Linked DNA regions of Mus musculus. The protein of the gene in region 1 interacts with the protein of each later gene in a pairwise test. Links are inferred from orthologs where the notes say so. Each region holds a gene or a part of one and is shown in the gene's direction. Other genes may lie near its edges.

What was found.
Region 2: the proteins of Prr22 (region 1) and Nelfa interact in a two-hybrid assay, tested with the Homo sapiens proteins (2 studies listed by BioGRID). The two-hybrid records come from large-scale screens. The link is inferred for Mus musculus from reciprocal best matches to the Homo sapiens genes PRR22 and NELFA.
Region 3: the proteins of Prr22 (region 1) and Grb2 interact in a two-hybrid assay, tested with the Homo sapiens proteins (2 studies listed by BioGRID). The two-hybrid records come from large-scale screens. The link is inferred for Mus musculus from reciprocal best matches to the Homo sapiens genes PRR22 and GRB2.

Annotation. Positions count from the first base shown.
Region 1 is NC_000083.6:56,768,841-56,772,654, forward strand, and holds Prr22 (proline-rich protein 22), read left to right. Parts: upstream 1-1,435; 5' UTR 1,436-1,499; coding exon 1,500-1,611; intron 1,612-1,695; coding exon 1,696-1,761; intron 1,762-2,186; coding exon 2,187-3,277; 3' UTR 3,278-3,294; downstream 3,295-3,814. Other genes in the region: Dus3l (tRNA-dihydrouridine(47) synthase [NAD(P)(+)]-like), read left to right, coding at 1-62, 210-285, 410-598, 694-822, 896-968.
Region 2 is NC_000071.6:33,919,208-33,922,851, reverse strand, and holds part of Nelfa (negative elongation factor A), read left to right. Parts: intron 1-834; coding exon 835-1,006; intron 1,007-2,198; coding exon 2,199-2,360; intron 2,361-3,644. UniProt on the Homo sapiens protein: Essential component of the NELF complex, a complex that negatively regulates the elongation of transcription by RNA polymerase II.
Region 3 is NC_000077.6:115,705,698-115,710,022, reverse strand, and holds the start of Grb2 (growth factor receptor-bound protein 2), read left to right. Parts: upstream 1-1,425; 5' UTR 1,426-1,629; intron 1,630-4,325. UniProt on the Homo sapiens protein: Non-enzymatic adapter protein that plays a pivotal role in precisely regulated signaling cascades from cell surface receptors to cellular responses, including signaling transduction and gene expression.

The DNA of each region.
Region 1 (3,814 bases):
GCTGGCTGACTGGCCCTACATAGAACAGTGTGCCAAGGTGGCCAGCCCCATGCCCCTGTTTGGTAGGTACCCAGAACCACTAGGGTCACATCTTTCAACTGGGAAGACTGGGAGGGATGCTGGGTCCCTTGGAAATCTCCAGACTGATTGATGATGCCCCCCATGTCCATGGGGCCTGCCACTGTCAAGACCCCACTGTGTCTCCTCAGGAAATGGGGACATCCTTTCGTTTGAGGACGCCAACTGTGCCATGCAGACAGGCGTTGCGGGGATCATGGTTGCCCGGTGAGCAGCAGCTGGGCTGGGGCAGCAGTGCTAGGACCTTCTGCACTCCTGTGAGGGCGAGGCCTGGCTGTTGAAGGGACAGAGCTCGGAGGCACAAGTCCTCACTGGGCATCTCCCTCTGTAGTGGTGCCTTGCTCAAGCCCTGGCTGTTCACGGAGATCAAAGAACAGAGGCACTGGGACATCTCGTCCTCCGAGCGCCTGGACATCCTGAGGGACTTCACTCACTACGGTTTAGAACACTGGGGCTCCGACACACAGGGCGTGGAGCGGACCCGGCGCTTCCTGCTTGAGTGGCTCTCTTTTCTTTGCAGGTGGGCATTGGACAGGCAAGCAGCTAGGGTAAGAGATCGGAGCCTTGGGCCTCCTCACTCGGCCTTCTTGCCTCCCCTACCCTCCTGGCCCACAGGTATGTGCCCGTGGGCCTGCTCGAGCGACCCCCACAGAGGATCAATGAGAGGCCACCCTATTACTTAGGCCGTGACTACCTGGAGACACTGATGGCCAGCCAGCAGGCTGCAGACTGGATTCGCATCAGGTACTCACAGACCAGGGCTCTGCGAGTTGATGCTGGGAGGCCCAGGCCTGACCTGTCCATTTTGTCCCCACAGTGAGATGCTGCTTGGACCAGTACCTCCTGGCTTCGTCTTCCTGCCCAAGCACAAGGCCAATGCCTACAAGTAGCCAATACAGACAATAAATATTATTCTTCTATCATTTCTTTTATTTTGTTGGTTTTTTGAGACAAGATCTCCTGTTGTCTGGGCTGGCCTTGAACTCCTGGAATCCTAGGCACTCACCGTCCATCATACTTGGCTTTTTTTTTTTAGGTGTCCTGTTTTGCTGGCCAGTGTCCTTGTGACTTTGGTTTTTCAAGACAGGGTTGCTCTGTGTAAACCAGGCTGGCCTCAAACTCAAGAGAGCCACTTGTCTGCCTCTGAATGCTGGGATTAAAGAAGTGTACCACCACTGCCTGGCTCTCCTTGTGATTTTGAATTAGGTGACTTGCGTGAAGGCAGCAGCAGCGACCTGGCTCAGGGAGCAGAGGGAGTCACCTCTTGCCCACCCCCTCCCCCTCCCCCGGAACCCAAGTGATGAGCCTGCCCTGGACTGGAACCCTCCACCTAGCAACGGGGCAAACAGAACCCAGAGGGACTCTATCCCCAAGGTGCCTCTGCTGCCACCCAGGTCCCCCCGGGGTGGCTTGTCTCACCCATGCAGCATCCCAAAACCCTGTATCCCCCAGCCATATCCCAGGAAGGCTTCAGCCTGCAGAGCCTGGAGGGCCCTGAGGTGCCAGGTGGCCCAGAACCCCTTCCCACCGTAGGTACGATGGTGGTGGTGGGCAGGGGTGTGTGATGGCCATGGGGCCTGGGCTCCTGCCCCACCCACCGGGCACCTTTGTCCACAGCCAATGCTAACCTGCACTATCAGACCCCCGGCTCGGACCAGGATGTGCTTCCAGCCCCTCCAGCAGGTATCAGCCAGCACCCCTGAGCCCTGCTATGAGCAGGCTCCATACTCTCCCGAGATGAGACCCTAAAATGACCCTGGGTCCCCTCTGTACTCCAGACAGATTTCCCTATAGCTAAACTCATGTGTCACATTTCAAGTGACACTGGAGACCAAGCCGAAGCCTGTTTTGGTGATGGCAGCTGCTACTAGGCAAGGCTTTCTGAGAGGCCTGGGCACCCAAACTCAGGTCGCTGTTCCTCTGAGAGGCATCAGAGGAGAAAACCCCAACAGTTTCTCTGTGTCAGATGACTGGTAGTCAGGGCCAGGTCACAAGGCCCCTCTGAGGTCAGGGCTGTGTCCTATGTGCCTCGGCTTTGGGCATCCCGCCCCCCCTCCCCAAGGCCTGGTTGCCCCATGGAGCTCCACTCAGGTGTCTGCCACCCACAGGCTTCCAGATGGCTCCCTGCGGCTGCTTCTTCGACCCCCGAATCTACCGCATCGAGTGGGCCACCTCCGACTTTGGCCAGTCATCCCTGTACAAAGTGGCAGTGGCTGGGGGTCCTGCCTTGTCTGGTGGTTACTTGCTGGAGGCCCCATCCTACCTCAAGGCCCCGGGGCCACCACCTCTACTGTACCCCCACTACCAGCCGGCCCCCAGCGGGCCACAGTACCTCACACATTACCTTCCAGCGGAGGAGCCTGTGCCTGAGGCTCTGGGCTTCATGCGGGACGGAGGGCCTCTCAACTTCATGGAGATGCTCAGAGACCGCCTGGCACCTCCGCCAACCCCCAAAGAGACTACGCCATCTCCCTTGCTTATCACAGTCCCCACGGCACACACGCTGCCACCCGGGCCCTATGGCCATCTCGGTGGCCAAGCCAGCCAGTTCCCAGGACCCCAGGTGACCATGAGGCCCATTGAGGCTTCCAGGGAGCTGCAGAGCAGTGGTGTGGCCAGGCCAGGTCTGCGATTCCCACCCGGGCCTGTAGAGCCCAAGGTGGCCAAGGTGGAGGACGTCACCCCAGTGGGCTCAGGGGAGACCATGCCTGCCGAGGCGGCACGTGCGTTCTTCCTACCGGACAAGGTCCTTCTCGAAGATGCCATGAAACTTTTTGATTGTCTCCCTGGTGGCACTGAGCCTGAGGTGGCCTTGCACAGGGGTCCTGGCCCTGGACTGCGGGACAGTGGTGGCGGTGGGGATGACTTCCCAACCGACATTCGCTCCCTGCACCTGCCAGATGACCTGCTGTCCTTTGACTACAGTGTCCCCGAGATCCTAGATGCGGTGGCCAATGTGGACTACTTTTTCAGCTTCAAGGCCCTGGATGATGAACCACCAGTGCCGCATCTCGGGGTCCCTGCCACTGACACAGTGGCCCCAGGCCTGCGGTCCCATCAACTGGGGAAAAAACCCAGCATGCCCACCAAGAAAGGGAAGCCAGGCAGCAGACACAGGCAGACCACAGGCCCAGCTGACACAGCTGCCGCCGCCGCTGCTGCAGGACCCAGGCTGGACCCGGGAGCCATCCCCAATTAAAGCCATTTGATCTCTCAGCTGTATGTGGACACGTGTCCTGTGGCCACGACCAGGCAAGCCTGCTAAGACATTGGTGAGGCCAATGTGTGTGTGTGTGTGTGTGTGTGTATGCGTGTGTGTGCTGGGGGGGGTGGTGGGGGGGTGGCAGTCACATGCCTTCAGAGTTGAGCCAGAATCCTCAGAATTGAAGTGTCAGGCTGAACTGTTAGCCCTGCATTCAGGTTGCCTGGGTAGGGAGATTGCAGACCAGTCTGGGCCACAAAGTACAGCCTCATCTACAAGAAATGAAGATGGGGTGCTGTAGCTCAGTTGCTAGCATGTTGGGGCTCAGTTGGTACAGTGCTTGGGACTCAGTTGGTACAGTGCTTAGGGGCTCAGTCGTTATTCACAAGTATAAACTATGTTTGGTACCTGGTTGTAACCCTAGCACTGAGGAGGTAGGAGGAGACAGGATCCACATTTCAAGGCCAGCCTAAGCTTTCTGACACTGTCTCAAGAAGAAAGTTAATCACCTGGGGCTGGCCATGTTGGGAGGTC
Region 2 (3,644 bases), on another chromosome or scaffold:
AAGGCTCTTTGAATCCTTCAGAAGAGCCACCCCTTCAGCCTCAGAAAACAATCACTGACTATTTACAAAAGGCTACTTCAAAGCCATTGTATTAGCCATATACAATGGCTATGCTAAACTTCTGCTTCACACCTCTCTCCACTTCGTAGGAGAACTTGCCCTCCCCACACACACACCTGTAAGATCACTCCTCCTAATCCTTCCCACACATGGCCATTCTTATTCAAACCACCACAGCTAATGTGACAAAGCAGCACAGGTTAGGTAGCACTCTTACCTGTAGGTGGTAGAGGTCAAATCCCTCTTGTCTTCAGCCACAGGCTCCCACACAGGCTGCAGCAAAGACTTCCTAAGACTTCCTGGCCCCCTCTAACTCTCTGGTAGGTGTCCATAGCTCATAAGCTGCATGCATCATTCCATGTGCCCAGCTTTCTAAGGTTTCTCCTATGCACACTGTAACTTCAAGCATCTATCTATTACTAGCAGTGGCAGTTGCTCATGGTATAAGCTCTTGTCCCTGTCCCTCCTTTGCACCAAAGAAATGATGGGTTACCCACTTGCCTTGGTGCTCCATGTTACTGAACCTGAGCCCAATTCTGCCTGCCAAAAGAATGCCCATTAAAGGCACATATTCCGTAAGTATAGGCATGGCAGCCCTGTTTCCTTGAATCTTATGTTTTGTTATATCTGCCCACCAGAGAGAGTTAGGAAGCATAGGCACAGTCTGAAAAGCCATCCCAGCCTACAGTCACGGCAGGGGACATTTTAAGCTGTCACTGTTCCGAAGGCCAAGTGGGGCTGCTGACATGTACTTGGTGTCTTCTTTCTTGGCAGATGAAGGCGGCTCTGATGGATATCATCCAGCTGGCCACGCTGGACTCAGACCCCTGGGTCCTCATGGTTGCTGACATTCTGAAGTCCTTCCCTGACACGGGCTCCTTGAATCTGGACCTTGAGGAACAGAACCCCAATGTTCAAGACATCTTAGGAGAACTTAGAGAAAAAGGTAAGTAGCCAACTTTATTTTGCAGTGGCAAGAAGGTGCTCTAGTTTTAGAAATTATGTTGTCATTATTATACCCTTGATGTAGTATGCCATGGCTCCTTATACACATGACTGCTTCGGTCTGACTTGCCACAACCCTGTCCCCACTGCATGTGCTGTGTCTGCAGCTCTGACTCATCATGATTTACTTGACCATTGCTCTCTCTCCCCAAAAGTTCCTTGAGGGTGAAAACCCTACAGGTTATGTTTCCTGAGCCTAAAAAACATTCTCTGTCCTTTAGTAGATACTCATTAAAAAATACCAACAAATCAGTTTCTAGACTATGAGATGAAAACTGTGGTTTTAGAGAGGTGAGAGTAGGAATATCTGTGCCTCTGACGCTCTCTCCCTTGATGGAGAATGAAGACCTATGCCTCAGAAAGATGGAGTTGGAGGCTCGAGGTCACACACTCCTACAGGCCTGCTTGTGAGGCCCTAGGAGGTTTGGGGGTTTTGTTGATTTTAGTTGCAGACTCAGAGCATTGGTCTGCACATGTCACATCCCTACCGTGGTGGCTGGTTCACTTGACAGCAGGAGGGTGAAGCAGCTTGCTTCTCATGATTCTGCTTCCCCTAGTTAGATGACTGACTGGGATAGCTCTTTGGAGTTTTTCAGGCTCCAGCCTCTTGGTGAGCACATCGAATCAGGAAGCACACGGGAGTGGCTTTAGAAAACTTCCTCTGAGGAAGTCAGGAGAGACCGCCAGGGCTCTGCAGTCAAAGGGGAAGATAAGATAGCCACACACTTGTTCCTCTTGGTGTTGAATCTGCCTTGTAGTTAGGATGCAGGAGGCTGTTCTCCATGCTGCTGTATGCTGATGCTTGTGGTTCCTGGACCTCCACTGGAGTCCAGTGGCTTATGGCTGACATAATTGAGGAACCCTGTCTTCTTTTCTAGGCATTTCTTGTTTTTAAAAAGCCCCTGGAAAATCTGAGGTTTCCTCTAGGGCGACAGGCCTATTCTTTGGTCCTGATGCACCTGGATGATCTTGGGTTCTAGAGACGGTGGAACTGGAATGGTGGGGACGATAGGGGCTTGAAACCAAAGCAAGAAGCTGTCACAGTGATAAATAATGAAAGCCTTCATGGAGTTGTCTACATGTGAGCTATGGGGTTGTAAGAACTATTTCTCTAACCCTCTGACTCTCCACAGTGAGTGAGTGCGAGGCATCTGCCATGCTACCACTGGAGTGCCAGTACCTGAACAAGAATGCCCTGACCACCCTTGCTGGGCCCCTCACCCCACCAGTCAAGCATTTTCAGCTAAAGCGGAAACCTAAGAGTGCCACGCTGCGGGCAGAACTGCTGCAGAAATGTGAGTGCCTGGGTCACAGCAACCCTGCTCTTTTCTCTGTGGGGTTTTCCCTTCAGGCCCCAAACCCCTGGAATAAGGACTCTGAGACTCAAAATATATTTACAGATACCTTGGCCATAAGCTGTGGCTCATTCTCTTACTAGCTCATACTTTAATATTCCATTTATTTTAACCTAAGTTCTGCCACATGGATGCCTACCTCCTCTCAGACCCCATGCGTCTGTCCTCCCCCATGTTCCCAGGCAAATTTCCATGCACCTGGCTCTCTCCCAGAATCCTTTCTGCTTACCAGATGTCTCACCTTCTATTCTCCCTTTCCTATAAGCCAGAGTTTTTATTGACAAGTTGATGTATCCATACACTATACAACATATTCTCTATAAGTTCCCCTGTAGTCCGATAAAAGACTTTTATTTTCCATCAGTAGACTATATACAATAATAACAAATATGAAAAATTATCAGGTAAGAATTATATTTATAATGTCTAGTCCATATGTATCTGGCAACTTTGGATAAAGTACTCTACCATCTATCCTATCCTGGTGAGTTTAGAGTTCTGTACTTAAATCATTCTTACCATAACTTGCATAGACTTTAAAACATCTATTTAGTCTTCAACCCCATCAGAGACCTGAGAAGGAATAAATATTACCTGAGTGTGCAGGAAGTGTAGGCAAGCAGCTCCTAGACTATGACAGTGACAGAGACAGTTGGCTGTCTGGACAGCCTCCCAAATTTCTCTGAGTCATAGGAGCGTCATCTGTAGCTTTGTAGCCCAGAATACCTGACAGGCCTTTTTGTGAAACAGGAAATAGAAAAGGACTGCTCATCTTGTCTTGGCAAACCTCAGCAGGCAACTTCCCTGCATCCCATTTGTGCAGTTTGGACAGCAGCATTCTGTCAGCATGAAGCAAGGGTAGCTCCTTGCCCACTGGCTAGCTTACCACTTTTGAAGCAAACTCTAATGCTCAGCATCTTCTTTGAAGCCCAGTAGGGGTGATGCCAGGAGCTGACCTGTCTTATTATCAAAGAAGGATTAAATTAATAAAGCATCTTTAAATGCTATATTTAAAGACCATCTGTCTATAGTATATCTGAATTGTTTCTATTTACTGTCTGATTAACATTGAGAACATCTACCTCTAAATAAAGCTTAATTTTGTAAATAAATAAAGAAGTTCCTACAAGACCATATGTTTGATTGACTATTAACTTGTATTTCTAATTATTTTAAACAGTCTTATAGCAGCTTTTAAGGACTAGAACTTAACTTTGCATTTTA
Region 3 (4,325 bases), on another chromosome or scaffold:
CGGGCAGCTCTCCCTTTTGTAACTGGTCATTCTAATATGTAGGTCCCTGGTACTTAGGGCCAGCGTTCTTCTCTTTGAAACTAAGTAGCTCTATCTAAATCGCAAACTGCTGGAGTCATTGGCTTCATCTTTTGCTCTGAAAGGCATTTTCAATTGCAAATGATGTTCAGTAAACACTTGTCGAAAGAACAATTCACTTGCCTTATTTTAGTGGACTCATTATTGTAGCAGAGGCTTGGGTATTCTTAACTGTATTTTGTTGGCTTCTAGAGAACACATTGACATTGGCTGTGTTCTTGCTCTCCTATAATTGAAAAGAGCTTTTGGAACTGAGAGGTACTTCTCCAAGCTTCATCTACTACTCCCCCAAAACCGGCAGCCCCGCACAGGAACCTATCTATGCACTTTGCATCGCACAGAACACGACTTTCTCACGCCTCCATCCATCTCTCTGTTCTGTGCCATTCCGTTTGTTGGCTAAGCGCTTACCCTGGCTCCTGTGCTGTGGAACTCCTACTCGCCCTCCAGTACTCAGTTCCACATCACCTTCTTTGTTAAGTCTTTTATACAGTGGGCTGAGGAACAGAGCCAGCCTTTCTCTATCTTTTTGGCTTCCTCAGCATTCCCCCAAAGAGCTATGTGTAAGTGTTATAGCTGTGTGTGTATGTGTGTGTGTGTGTGTGTGTGTGTGTGTGTGTGTGTGCGCGCGCGCGCGCGCGCGCATGAGGGTGTGTGCAGGTGAATGCTAGTGCTATCAGAGGCCAGCGGCACTAAGTCTCCTGGAACTGGGGTTACAGACAGTTGTGAGCCATCTGGTGTGGGTGCAGGTCCTCTGGAAGAGCAGCAAGCAGTTTTTGACCTGAGAGGTCTCTCCAGCCAAGACATTACTTGTTTACTCTTCTGCTGCTTCTCTCGATTTAACCTCTTGAAGGCCAGGATCTCTGCTCGTTGTTTCATCTTCTTTACCCAGCACAGTGCTTACTTACACTGGGTATGTGGTTCACTGCGTGAACAGACTAATCAAACAATTCATCGAATACTGCAGGTTGCACGAACCAGATCCCCAAACGTTTCTAGAACTGGTCCTCTATTTGGGTTGAGCCATCCTGAGATCTCTCCCCGCTCCTCGGTGCCTCTTTGCTTTGTTTTGGTAGAAAGGACGTGATTAGAGTGTGGAAAGCGCCGTTCCTCTAGAGCAGAGCTGTAATTCACTTGCTCCGGCACGTAGAGGGTTACAACGGCCCAGGGGCGGAGCCGAGTCCGTGCCACCTGCTGCGGGCCGAGCTGACGCATGCGCGAAGCCCCCCTCTAGGCTACCTGCCGGGCGGAGCGGAGGAGGAGCGCTTGCGCTCTGGGCCTTTTCCGCCGGGGGAAGTCTCGCGGGGGCGGGGCGCGGCGGGGCGGGGCCGCGTGGGGAAGTTCTCGCGGGACCCTGGCGAGGAGCGGAAGCTAGGTTGCTCTGTTGCTTCTGCGATCGGGCGGCGGCGGCGGCGAGAGCGAGCGGGGCTGCGGCCGGGACGGCGGTCGGGGCAGCGGGCGCCGCAGTCAGGGAGCAGCAGCGAGGTTGGCGGCTGCGGGCGGCAGCGCAGGGCGGGCCGGGCCGGGTGACGGAGTGGACGGCGCGTCACGGTGAGTGCAGGGGAGCGGGCGGGAAGTGAGCGGGAGCTCCGTGGTCCCCGCGCCGCGCGGCGGCGAGCGGCTCGGGCCCGGGCTGCTCGGGGCTGCCGGGGAGGGCCGCTCGCGGGCCGGGGAAGGCTGGGACCCGAGCGCAGCGGCTGCGCAGCCGTCTCCTCGTTTCCCCTTTTGGGGCGCTTCCTTCCTGGTGCCGGTCTTCCTCCCGCTGGGGGCAGAGACCCGGCCCGCCGGGGAGGTCTGGTGTGGCGGCCGTCCGGCTGGACGCTGGGGAGCCCGGAGCAGCCGAGAGGCGCAGGCTGCTGCTCTGAGTCAGGCTGACTGAGCCCGGGAGGCGGGGGATTCGGTGCCCGCAGCTAACGTGGTGATTGATGCTCCTTTGACCTGCAAGGCCACCACGTCACCGCCTCTTGGCATCTTGCGGTGGAATTGTGTGCGGGAATCCACCGTGACTTAGAATGATTGTTACCCGGACCCGCCGACGGGTCTTTGTGAGAGTTGGGCGCTTCTCTTTTTAGAAGGACTTGAGGGGGAAAAAATACTTGTTGGGGGGTGGGGGGGAAGCAGCAGCAGCAGCGGATAGGAATGCTGGAAGGAAGGAATTTTGGGGAGAGAGCCCCGTTGGTTCCTGCAACACTCTTAGGTCGTGTGGGTTGGTAAGAAAGGGATTTTAGGCTGTGTTCAAAAGCTATAGCAGTGCAGTTTGCCGGGTAGCCGAAGCGCGTTCAACGTCATCTTTCGGTGCTGTTGACACTCAGAAAGAGGCTAGAGAAACTGGGTTTTGTTGTTGTTGTTTTTTTGTTTTGTTTTTTGTTTTTGACTTCTTCACCTCTCTTTCACTTTTCCGTTTTTGCCTTCTGTCTCCATTCTACGCTACTAGGGACACGAAAAGCATCTGTAGCGCCAGTCATTGGTCCCTCCGCCCCCTTTAAAAAAAAATCTACTTCCCCTTCTTGCTGTTCCTCCGTTATAATTTTCAAGTTTCTGCTGGTTTGGGCACTGTTCATTTTCTCCGTCGTTCTAAGATCCCCTTTTCTTTTGGAGGGAGATACCTTCCCTGTTTGCATTCCTTTTTTAACGTCCACTGTATTCATCAGGCAGCCAGGAGGGCTACTTGGGAGCCAGGGGGGCGGGGGCGGGTGGTGGTGTTGGTGGTAGGGGGCTGTTTAAGTTCTCCCCCTGGGAACTAGGAAACTCAAAGGACTGAATTCATCCCTAAGTAAGTGATAGTGACCAGTTCACAAGTGGATTTTGCCTGTTTGCTTGTGTTACTTGTATTTTGGTGTTTTTTTTTTTTCACAGATCATGGTTTGTTCGTAGTATTTTCCTTCTTGCTCCCTCCTGTTTCCCCTCACTGTTAGTAAGGGAGATTGAGTCAGTTTGGGAGCTGAAAGACTCCTTTTTAAGGTTTTAGTGAGGTTAACTATTGTTAAGTGAGAAATCACCCATGGGAGTTTGTGAAGTAAGATAGCTTGAAATAGAAGAGAACTTTGATATTTGTGAATTAAAGCCTACCTACCTACCCTAACAAATGATTTAGTCCTAATCAGGCTTTTAAAAGTGATTTTTAAGTTTTTTACATTCTTGAGTGTATTTACCTGCGCGTGCGCGCGGGCGTGTGTGTGTGTGTGTGTGTGTGTGTGTACATGCCTGGTGCCCTCAGATGCTAAAGGAGGACCAATACCCCTTGAACAGGAGTTACAGAGGGTTGTGAGCAGCCATATTCTTCTCTCTGGCCCGATAGTTGGTTTTAAGCACCGTTTGCTGTGTTACTGAGGTTTTTTCATGATTTCCACTATGTCGCGTGTGTACAGCAGCCCTTAGAGAATTATGGAGTGTTAGACTTCAGAGATGGCAAAACAGAGCTGCCACTCTCCCGACAGGCAGCACTGAGAGGTAGTTAGTTACCTGCTGATTGGCCATGGTTACTGAGATTTATTGTTTTGTGATTGTCAAAGTTGATTTTCCCCTGAGTTGTGCCAAGTCTAATGTGCATCATTTTCTTTGTTCAGACATAGTGCATTATCTGAAATGCAAATTTTAAAATTTGCTTAGTGTTTCCTCATTTTAACAGTGATTCTTAAAATTTGTATGTATAAACATAACCTGCCAATTAAAAAAAATTTTATGGGCTCTCCGGAGAGATGGCTCATTGGTTAAGAGCACTGACTGTTCTTCCAGAGGTCCTGAGTTCAGTTCCCAGCAACCATATGGTGACTCACAACCATTTGTAATGGGATCTGACACCCTCTTCTGGTCTGTCTGAAGACAGCTACAGTGTACTCATACACATATAATAAATAATTCTTTTTAAAAAATTTTATTCAATTTTTTTGAGACAAGGTCTTGATGTATTGTCCAAGTTGGTCTCAAATTATTTCTCTATTGATTTTTGAGGCAGGGTCAGTGTCTCTCTGTTTAGTCCTGGCTTTCTTAGAACTCTATCTGTAGACTAACTAGGCTGGCCTTAAACTCACAGACATTCTCCTGCCTCTGCTTTCTGTTGAAGTGTTGGGATGAAGGTGTGCGCCACCATTGGCCCTGGTTTTGCTTTGAGCCATTCTGCTTCAGCCCCACCCCAGTGCTTCTGCTGCCACTTGGGAGGGGACACTGTCACAGCTAGGTGGTGGCAGAACTCAGGCAAGATTGCAGAATGTGAACGGAAGGACTCAAAATAGCTGCAAGAAGTCCCT